Linked DNA regions of Rattus norvegicus. The protein of the gene in region 1 purifies or fractionates together with the protein of each later gene. This does not show direct contact. Links are inferred from orthologs where the notes say so. Each region holds a gene or a part of one and is shown on either strand. Other genes may lie near its edges. The genes, in order: Por and Emc4.

Region 1 (4,599 bases):
CTAGAAGACTGATGGAACAGGGTTTCTTTCTCCAACCTTACTGATGAAGAAATCAGAGCCTGGCCCTGTATCTATGGTTTGTCTTAGCAGATAAGCCACCTTTGACCCAATGCTTCTAAACCAGCTGCCTCAAATCCAGATGTCTATCAGATGCCAAATAACAGAAGTGTATGGAAAGACAAGTTCTACGCTATAGCGCATGTCTAAGAAATGAGAGTGAGGATCTGGCAAGCTGGAGCCTACCCCTGTACACCCAACACATGGCTGAGGAAGGAGGATTTGAGGCCAGACTAGGTTCTATAAGTAGTTCTGGGCCAGCCAGGGCTACTTAGCAAGACCTTGTCACAAAAACAAATTAAAAACAAAACAAACAAAAAAACCCAATGAAAAGGTATTTTCTGTCTCTAAGATACAAATTATCTGTTTCTTTTACAAAGAAACAAACATTAAATATGTAGTAAGACATACAAGATGGTATGTGTACTCTGTGGTGCTTTGTGAGATTGTATCTTTTTGGTTTTCTTCTTTTGAGAGGAGCTCTTGAGTGGGTTGTTCAACATGTCTAGCAAAGTTTATAATGTAAAGGGGAGAAGGAAGAACAGAGTCCCGAGGGTGGGCCTATGAAGGAATGTACTCAACAGACAATAGGTACCCGTATAAAAATCAATGAAGAAATAAACTAAGGAAAGTTACATCTCACTGAGATGAGGCCCACAGGCCTGGCCTGATGTGGCAAGTGCTTACACAGCAGGCCTCTCCAATGACAAAGAGGATGACAACTGGGTTAGCTCTCACAAAGAGGGGACATCCCTAAGAACTAGATTCTGTATGCAGGTGGCTCTAGTCCTAGCACTTAGGAGGCAGAGGCAGGAGGATTGGGAATTCAAGGTCAGCCCGGGACACCTGAGACCCTCATCTCAGAACAACCAGAGTTAATATTGCAATGTTGAAATGCCTCATGGACTTAGTAAGTAAATGTTTGGCTCCTGGCAGGGAGGAAGTTCTTCTCAAACAGACTCTCTGCTAAGTACACAGAGACTTTCCTAACGAATGAAGATCCTGACTTTCAAGGAGTTAACCACCCAGAATGAACAGGCCTACAATTTTAGGTTTATCAGACCACAGACATCTCTCGGGGATGTTCATTTATAAACTCCTACTATCAGGATGTCTTCACTTGAGGCGTCCTGGCTACCACAAGCCTGTGACTTCCAGGTACCAAAGTCCATCTCTGGAATCTTCTATAGTCTACACCTACCTCTTCCTTTCTCAAATGCCAGATGTGAGGGCAATAAGATAATATTCCATCCTCTCCAGTGTGGGCCTGTTTTCTGGCCACTTTCTGACAATGATTGAGCAACGTGTTCAATGAAACCAATTCCAGTATCAGAGGGTATGAAAGTTAAGAGCCACTCACTTTCCAAAGAAAATGTGAACTTCTTAAAGGAGCCACTGGAATAACAACAAAAGCAAGGTGGACCATTCTGTGTTCACTGGTTTTAGTATTTGGGTTTTCTGAGCTGTTTTTTCCACTAGCAGCCAAGTCAGAGATCAACATTCAGGGGGGATCTGTGAGGGAAGAGTTTATGTGTGGTTAATGAACCAAAGTTCCAGACAGCTTCAGGAATTACTGCCCTGTGTAATAAGAACAAATCTCCAGGGTTAGATAACCACTTGGCTTACAAAGACCAGCCCAGTTCTCAATACCACTAGCCAGGATCACAGCCTCTTTCCTCTCCTCAGTTTTACTGATATAGTAGTCTCAATACGCAGCCCTGACTTGGCACTTGCTGACCTTGAACTCAAGCAATCCTCCTGCTTCAACCTCCTAAGTACTGGAACAGCTCCAGGATTATCTCTTGTCCTCAAAATGTCACAACCCTAGTCAGGCCAGGTGGCACACACTTACAATTTCTGTACTCAGGAGGCTGAGACAGAATCAATCTGTTCAAGGGCTACAAAAAAAAAAGGTACAGGCCAGCCTAGGCTCCATACAAAACCTTGTCTCACACACACACACACACACACACACACACACACACACACACACACCCCTAAGGGTCGGGAAGCTGACAGACCAGAGGCTCAAAGAACTTATGTGTTCTGCCAAGGTGGTAAAACTCGAACTCAGGGCCACCCCCACCAGTTGAGTCTCCCTTTGTGTTTTCATTATTCCGGCAGCATGGTCAGGTTCAGAGCGAACCACTTAGTTGGATGGGTCCATAGCAAACACACATCACTTTCACTGAAATGTCCCTGAAATCCTCTGTCCCGGTCCGGTCACTAGCTTACACAATGCTGAATCGTCTTGAGAAAAGAAAATGAGATAGAAGGAAAAAGCCAATCCAGGTTAAGTTCCCTGGAAGATGCCCTGCTCCTGCTGCTCAGCAGACCACAACCTCTCACCCAGTGGCTCCCAAGAGCTCAGCTTGTCACTGCTGCTCAAGCGAACGGGACAAAGGTGTGTCGTAGGCACTGTCCCAGGAGGGGGACTGCCTCAGGGATGCACGCAGGGTGACACCTCCACTGAGTCCACCTGATTGTTCCGGGTCCTATTCGCCCTCATGGAGCTCATTCTAAAGTGAGTGGTCTTCGTAATCTGCTGCCCAAAAGTCCCGTCGCACAGGTGGGGAAACTGAGGCTTGAAGAGGGAATGTTGCTTTGCCTGACAGGAGTCCTGAGGACCGAATCTTTGGCCGCAGATGCAAAGATCCGACCCTCAGATGAAGGCAGTTATGGGGAGAACGACCCTCTATACGCCCCGCGACAGGTTAGGTCGTGGTGGGAAACGCCACCACGGGAGAAGGGCCGAGGTGCGAAGTCTCGCCTTCCGCAAGGGTGAGTCGCGCGGAGATCGGCCCAAAAACCCTCCCGGGAGTCACAAACCGGATAGTCTTAGCGACAAGAGGTGACCCGGTATCGCGGAGCTCCCCTGAGGTCTCCCATTCCTCACTTACCCTGCGCTCTCCGGTACCGACCAGATCACCCACGGCCCGCGGTCCTGTAGGTCTCTGAGGCAGTGGGGCCGGACGCAAGCCCGCACCACTGAGGCGCTACCACCGACCAGAAGGCTGCGGGGGTGAGGCGTGGCTAACACCGCCGAGGTCCCGCCCACAAAAGCCGCGCGCGCGCTCTTGAGGCAGGCCCTCTTTCTTTTGCTCCCCTTCTAAATCCCTGCTGTTGGTACAGCCCTGGTGGGCCCCGCCCCTAAGCCCAGCTCTCAGTTCCTAGGTCACGCCCTTCATCCGCTCCACGGAAAAGGCACGCCTCGCAGCCCGGCGGCGCCCAGTTCAGATGCTCAGTTTCTAGGCCACGCCCCTCTTCTCTCCTCAGAGAAGCCCCGCCCCCAAGCCTAGCACCGATTCTGGGCCACGCCCCCCTCTCCTCTCAAAGAAGCTCCGCCCATTCCTGGGCTTGGATCCTAGTTTTGGCTACCCGCCTGCACAGCTCTGACCGACGTTTGTGCTTGCGTGACCCTGCCTTGCCCCTTGGCAGCCTAGCTTGGTCTCTTGGGTCAATGCTGGGTCGTGGCTGTGCGCCACCTCGTGTTTCGACCTGCTGCTGGCCTCAGCTCACCTGTGATCTCATGTCTTTTGTCAGCTGAAAATGGTGAGGCCCATAGAGGCACCGCTGGTCCCCGGGGGTACCCACTGAGATTTGAAAACTAACCTGTTTAAGGAAGAGAAGTGGCTAGGGGAAAGGCGAAGGCAATAGTATTTGGAAATCTGGCTACCAGCAGTCATGCTTGATGCCTCTCCATCCCAACGCTCGGAAGATTGAAACAGGAGAATAAGCCTCAAGTACTGAGTCTGAGGCCAGCCTTAGCTACTTACGAGTAACTCTCAAAAAAAAAAAAAAATCAAAAGAAGAAAAGAGTCGGTTGTATTGGAGTTATAATCCCACCTCTAACCCCCGGGAGGTTTGGGGTAACAGGAGCATAAGGTCTGGGGGGCAGAACCTTTGTTCTAAACAGCTTTATCTTTATGGCTATTACTATTATTAGTAAACGTTCTTGAGTCATCAAGATGGCTCTCTGAGTAAAGGGGCTTGCCGTTCAGCCTGGCTCGGTCTATGCCCAGGACAAACAAGGAAGAAGAGAACTGATTCCCTCTGATTGTCTTCTGGCACATGCGTGCCCCTTGCACATGCACAAATAAATAAATGCATTTAAAATAAGTTGTTAACATTCTGCCATGGCCCAGCCTTGGGGAGGCAGAACCAGGTGGATCTCTAAGTGTTCAGGGCCAGCCTGGTCTACATAGAGCACTCTAGGCCAATCAAGGCTGCATACATAGTGAGACACTGTCTCTGAAGAAGAGCAGGAGGAGGAAGAGGAGGAGGAAGAGGAAGAGGAGGAGGAAGAGAATGAGGAAGAGGAGAAAAAGGAAGAAGAGAAAGAGGAAGGGTAAGAGGAAGAAGAGGAGGAAGAAAAGAAGGCAATTCTGCTACAAATTCCTCTTGGACCAGTGAGCAAGTTCTCTCAGAAACCATTCTCTATATTTATTAATTAATACATAATCATTCATTCATATATTATAGCTTTATTTTCCTATTCAAGACCAAGCCTTTTGTAGCACAAAAGACAGGCCTTGAACTCCT
Region 2 (4,608 bases), on another chromosome or scaffold:
AATAGGATTGTAGATAGGCACCACCATACCATTCCTAGCTAGAAATCCATGATCTTAAGAATGTGTGAGAACACTCAGCGTCTATTTCATGAAAGTCAGACAAAGAACAAACTAAAGGATTTTGAAAAAAAAAAAAAATAAGCGATTACAAAGATAAGGTTGTCTTTTTGCAGGACTGTAAATTCAATTCTGGTAAACCTGACAAGTTAGACATGAAAACTCTTCCATGTCCAGAGGAAAGGAGGCAGCTTTATAGATCCTGCAGACATCACACTCGCCATATTCTAAACTCTTTGACTATTTGAAAATTTAGGAAATGGATACATTCCTAGAAACATGACTTAAATTGCGTAAGAAAAAGGAAAAAGAATCCCATGGCAGTTAGCAAGGCTGACTCTATCTATTATTAAGCCCAAATCATCACTTCCCTTGGCAAATTCTAATCATTTAAAGCTAAAAATACAAGTCTCACACAAACTCCTTTGGAAGGAAACAAAACTAAAAATTCAAATTCCAGAAATACTCAAGCCTTAAAAGACTGTCATGAGGGGCTGGGGATTTAGCTCAGTGGTAGAGCGCTTACCTAGGAAGCGCAAGGCCCTGGGTTCGGTCCCCAGCTCCGAAAAAAAGAACCAAAAAAAAAAAAAGACTGTCATGAGAAATGTGTGTTTGCATGTATATTTATATATACAAAATGAATGTTACCTATGAATCTAATGTAAACTCCTAGCAAAGGCCCTGGAGAGAGGACTCTGTGTTTAACAGTATTTGTTGCTTATTCAAGGGACCAATGCTTGGTTCCCAGCACCTACATGGTGGCTCACAATGATCCACAGCTCTAGTGCTGGGGGATCCAATACCTCCTTCTAACCTCTGAAAGCTCTAGGCATACACAATACACATATGTACAGACAAAACACTGATGTGTATAAAATAAATCTAACACACAGCAATGTATAAAATAAATCTAAAAGAAAAACTTAATCCTAACAAAGTATAAATCTATGTAAAAATAGCCATGTATATAAATTATGCATTCCATGGAATAAAAATTGTTTATTCAGCAATATTAAGGCTGGGAGGGAAGTATAAAAAGGAAGGAAAATATCAAGGACCCCTCTAAACCCTTGGGACACACTTCTGCTGTAAAATTCCTGCTAATCTAGTCTACAAGAGTACTAAGATGGTAACTAGCATAAGCCATGTGATATGTCCATAACATACAAATGAAACAGCAGCACAGGAAAAGTCTTGACTATAATATTAGAGAGACCCCAAAGAAGAACTAAGCCAGTTAGGAAGGAATCCAGAGGAAAAGCATTCTACGAATAGAGAACACACACAAAAGGCAGGCAAGGGGAATTTATCTGGTATCCTTACATAGCAACAAGGAAATCATTATGACTAGAGTAAACAAATGTAAAAATGGTAGACAGGCCACAGATGCTACAGGGAACAGACTCCCTGGTACATGCAGAGTTATGTCTAATACTAAAAAGACTTGGTGTTAATGCTGAATGAGCATGGAATTTTAGACTGATTTTGAGTAGGGATGACCTGGCATCTTTTAAAGGGATCATTTTTGATGGCTGTGCTTGGAGACTACAGGGAGGACAAGGTAGAACATAACAAGACACATTAGAACTCTATACAGGAAGGGATACTGAGAAATTGAGAAGGGGGACACTTGAATATAGGTCTCTTTCAAAGCGAGCAGTTTCATCACAGGTATACACTGCTAAAGCTCATCAAAGTGTACCTCTTTAGACCGCCTGAAAAACATCTGGTAATGCTGGAAACATCTTTAGTTCACACAATAATGGAATAACATAATGGTACCTAATGTGTAGAGATCAGGAGTACTAAAACATCTTACAGTAAGTACCCAACATAATTCTCCCCCGCAAAAGAAGTACTTGCCCCCAAATAGAAAACAGTACTGAGGTTGAGAAACCATGCTTTATTTTAAATAGAGGGATGGAGGGACAGTTGATCGATTATTAGTCTACTGCTGGTGATGTAACAGTTGAAGGCAGTAAGAAATGATAGCAGGATTGGGATGTTTTGAAGGTAAAAGTAACACAATATCCCGACACACTGAAATTATGTCAGGGAACATATATGTAAGATACTGTAATATAAATCTTAAGCATTGTGGCTCTCAAACACTCAGGTAGTGACCAGCTGCTTTACCTCTACTCCAGAGAGTAAGGTGAGACAGGACTGGTCCAAATGCTACAGTTACATCTAATACCTCTGTACCTTCTCCACCAGGATCCGGTCGGTCTCTTGCACGCTGGTATCAGGCACTTGCTTGTCCAAGTAACCGACTGGATAGAGTGAGTCTCCCTGTCCACTGCCCCGGTCACTTCGGCCCCTAAAGAACCAAACCAAATCAAGAGACTAAAACTACGACTTCCCAAGCACGGGTTTTCAGCCCTATCGACCACAGAAAGAACTTCAGATGTAAATTAGATCCTCTCGTGCATTCTTCAGTTTTCAGCTCATTGGTAAAAACTAAAAGATCCTTGGGGAAAAATAACTTCCACAGCACAAGAGTTCCTCGGGTAACATGTGTGTGCCACCCACTCGTGTCGGAGACTTATACCTGAGGCCCTAGTTCCCTGGATCTCGGGTCGTTCTAGGGTAAGGGTAAGACATCGAGCTTAAGAAACTCACCTGCTCCCTCCTCCCGGTCCACTCAGCTCAATGGCCCATTTGAACCGCCGGCCTCGGTTGGCCACCAGGCCCCCCTGGGTCGTCATGACAGCAGCCGCTGGTTAAAAGTGCGGTCACCCTCCTGCCGCTGAGTTCGGCTCCTAAGAACTAGCGGAGATCGCAAGCGGTCCGACTTCCTTGCTTTCGCCGCAGTGCACTTCCGGCGCATAATGTTAACGTCACGCGTCCCTCGGAAACTTTCTGTCAGAAGGAAGAGTATCTGGATTTAGAAAATCCTCAAAACGACCCAGAAGACTAGCTTTCTGGAACCTCTCTGCGAATACACCTCTCATTTGTGCTCTTGTCTCTTAGGTATGCATCACGGAGCTGGAAAAGTCCGAAATGACAAGAATGGAAGCCAAGAAGAGCACGAAATTGAAATCCTGTTTTAATTCTGGGGTCATCCGGAATTGGGTGACCTTGAGCGAGTTATTCAGCCTCTGAGTACTATGTGTCGACGTGTTGCACAGCTATATATTTGTTTTGTTGTTGTTCTTGTTTAAATGTTTTTTTTTTCATTTTGTTCGCAAACTAACCCAACGAGGTAGGCGCCAGGAATGGAAAGACAAGTGGGTTCAGGATTTAACTGGTCTGTTAAGGACTTTCACTACTTACCGTGCCACCTCAACTAGGTTAAATTCATTGCTCCACCTGCCTCATGCAAAAAGATCGATAGTCGCCTAATTTTGTTGTGAGATTAAATAGGACCTGGAACCTAGACCTAATTCTTTTTATCATTCGTCATTCATTATCATTCCTGGAAAATGAAACTTCTATCCAATGACTTGTCTATATTGTAATTTAGCCTATTATTGGGAAATTGTTTCCACCGTCTCACCCCTTTTGTAATTCAGTGTTAGTATGAAAATCATTTAAGGCACCTATTGAATTAGGAGTGGAATTGCTACACCAAAGAGTATGTACATTTTTAAAGAATTATTATTTTAAATGCCTACTTTTTAAATTATCAGTTCAAAAACAGTAGTTTTCTTTATTTCTTTTATTTACCTTTATTAATATTATTCCCAAGTTGTTTATTATGGCTGGAGTTTAGAGGAAAGGGCTATGGTGAAAGAGTGGTTGAGGATCTGGCTGAAAATGCCTCCTTGGGCAACTGAGAGTTTTGACTCTTAGAGATAACGGTGATCTAAACACATTGAAGATGGCCACCTCCACATCGTTTTCCAGTTTGCAGTTCTGTGTGCAGAGAAGAGAAAGTTATGAGTTACATCCAGAGTAGCGGAGTGGTGGAGAGCATGAGATTTTACCATGCCATTCAGAACAGTGCAACTTAAAACATTAATATAGAATTTTCCATTTAAAGTTTGTGAAACACAGTTGAAACTAGGATCACTACATGCAAATAACCTAAGCCATGGAAAGCAAAACTGTTGGTTTAAAAAGTTGTAATTAAATATGCCACAGTAGAAATAGGTTACAATTATACATATGTTAAACAAAAAATAAATGTTAATATTGTATTAAGTAATAGTTTTTAGGTAATGTCTAATTCTTAGGGTACTCATGTGCTAATAAATTTTGAACGAACATGTTTTAAAAACATTAGAATCACATAATTCTACTTAAAGTATTTTCTCCTTATATGATAGCTTAAACTATAAATCACAGTTACTTTGTCCTCAGGGAGTAAGCCAGGAAATTTATTCCTTTACCCCAAGAATCTTCACTGTGTAACTTGCTAAATTGTGTCTTAGGAAAGATTAGGGAGGGTTCCAAGATCAAACTTGGGAAATAACCGTGTATTATATTATGCTCACACTAAGACGTTTTCAGTACTGTTAATATAATGCACTAAAGCATTTAAAAAATGACATGGGCCACATTGGCACATCGAACTACAAAGTGGCTGCCAGTATACATACTGCTTTT

What was found.
Region 2: the proteins of Por (region 1) and Emc4 purify together in Homo sapiens (affinity purification with mass spectrometry; 3 studies listed by BioGRID and IntAct, with this or other methods). This does not show direct contact. The link is inferred for Rattus norvegicus from reciprocal best matches to the Homo sapiens genes POR and EMC4.

The regions. Positions count from the first base shown.
Region 1 is NC_086030.1:26,632,792-26,637,390, forward strand, and holds the start of Por (NADPH--cytochrome P450 reductase), read right to left. Parts: upstream 3,019-4,599; 5' UTR 2,958-3,018; intron 1-2,957. UniProt on the Homo sapiens protein: This enzyme is required for electron transfer from NADP to cytochrome P450 in microsomes. It can also provide electron transfer to heme oxygenase and cytochrome B5.
Region 2 is NC_086021.1:119,626,231-119,630,838, forward strand, and holds the start of Emc4 (ER membrane protein complex subunit 4), read right to left. Parts: upstream 2,889-4,608; 5' UTR 2,766-2,888; coding exon 2,680-2,765; intron 2,378-2,679; coding exon 2,263-2,377; coding exon of another isoform or gene 2,255-2,262; intron 1-2,254. UniProt on the Homo sapiens protein: Part of the endoplasmic reticulum membrane protein complex (EMC) that enables the energy-independent insertion into endoplasmic reticulum membranes of newly synthesized membrane proteins.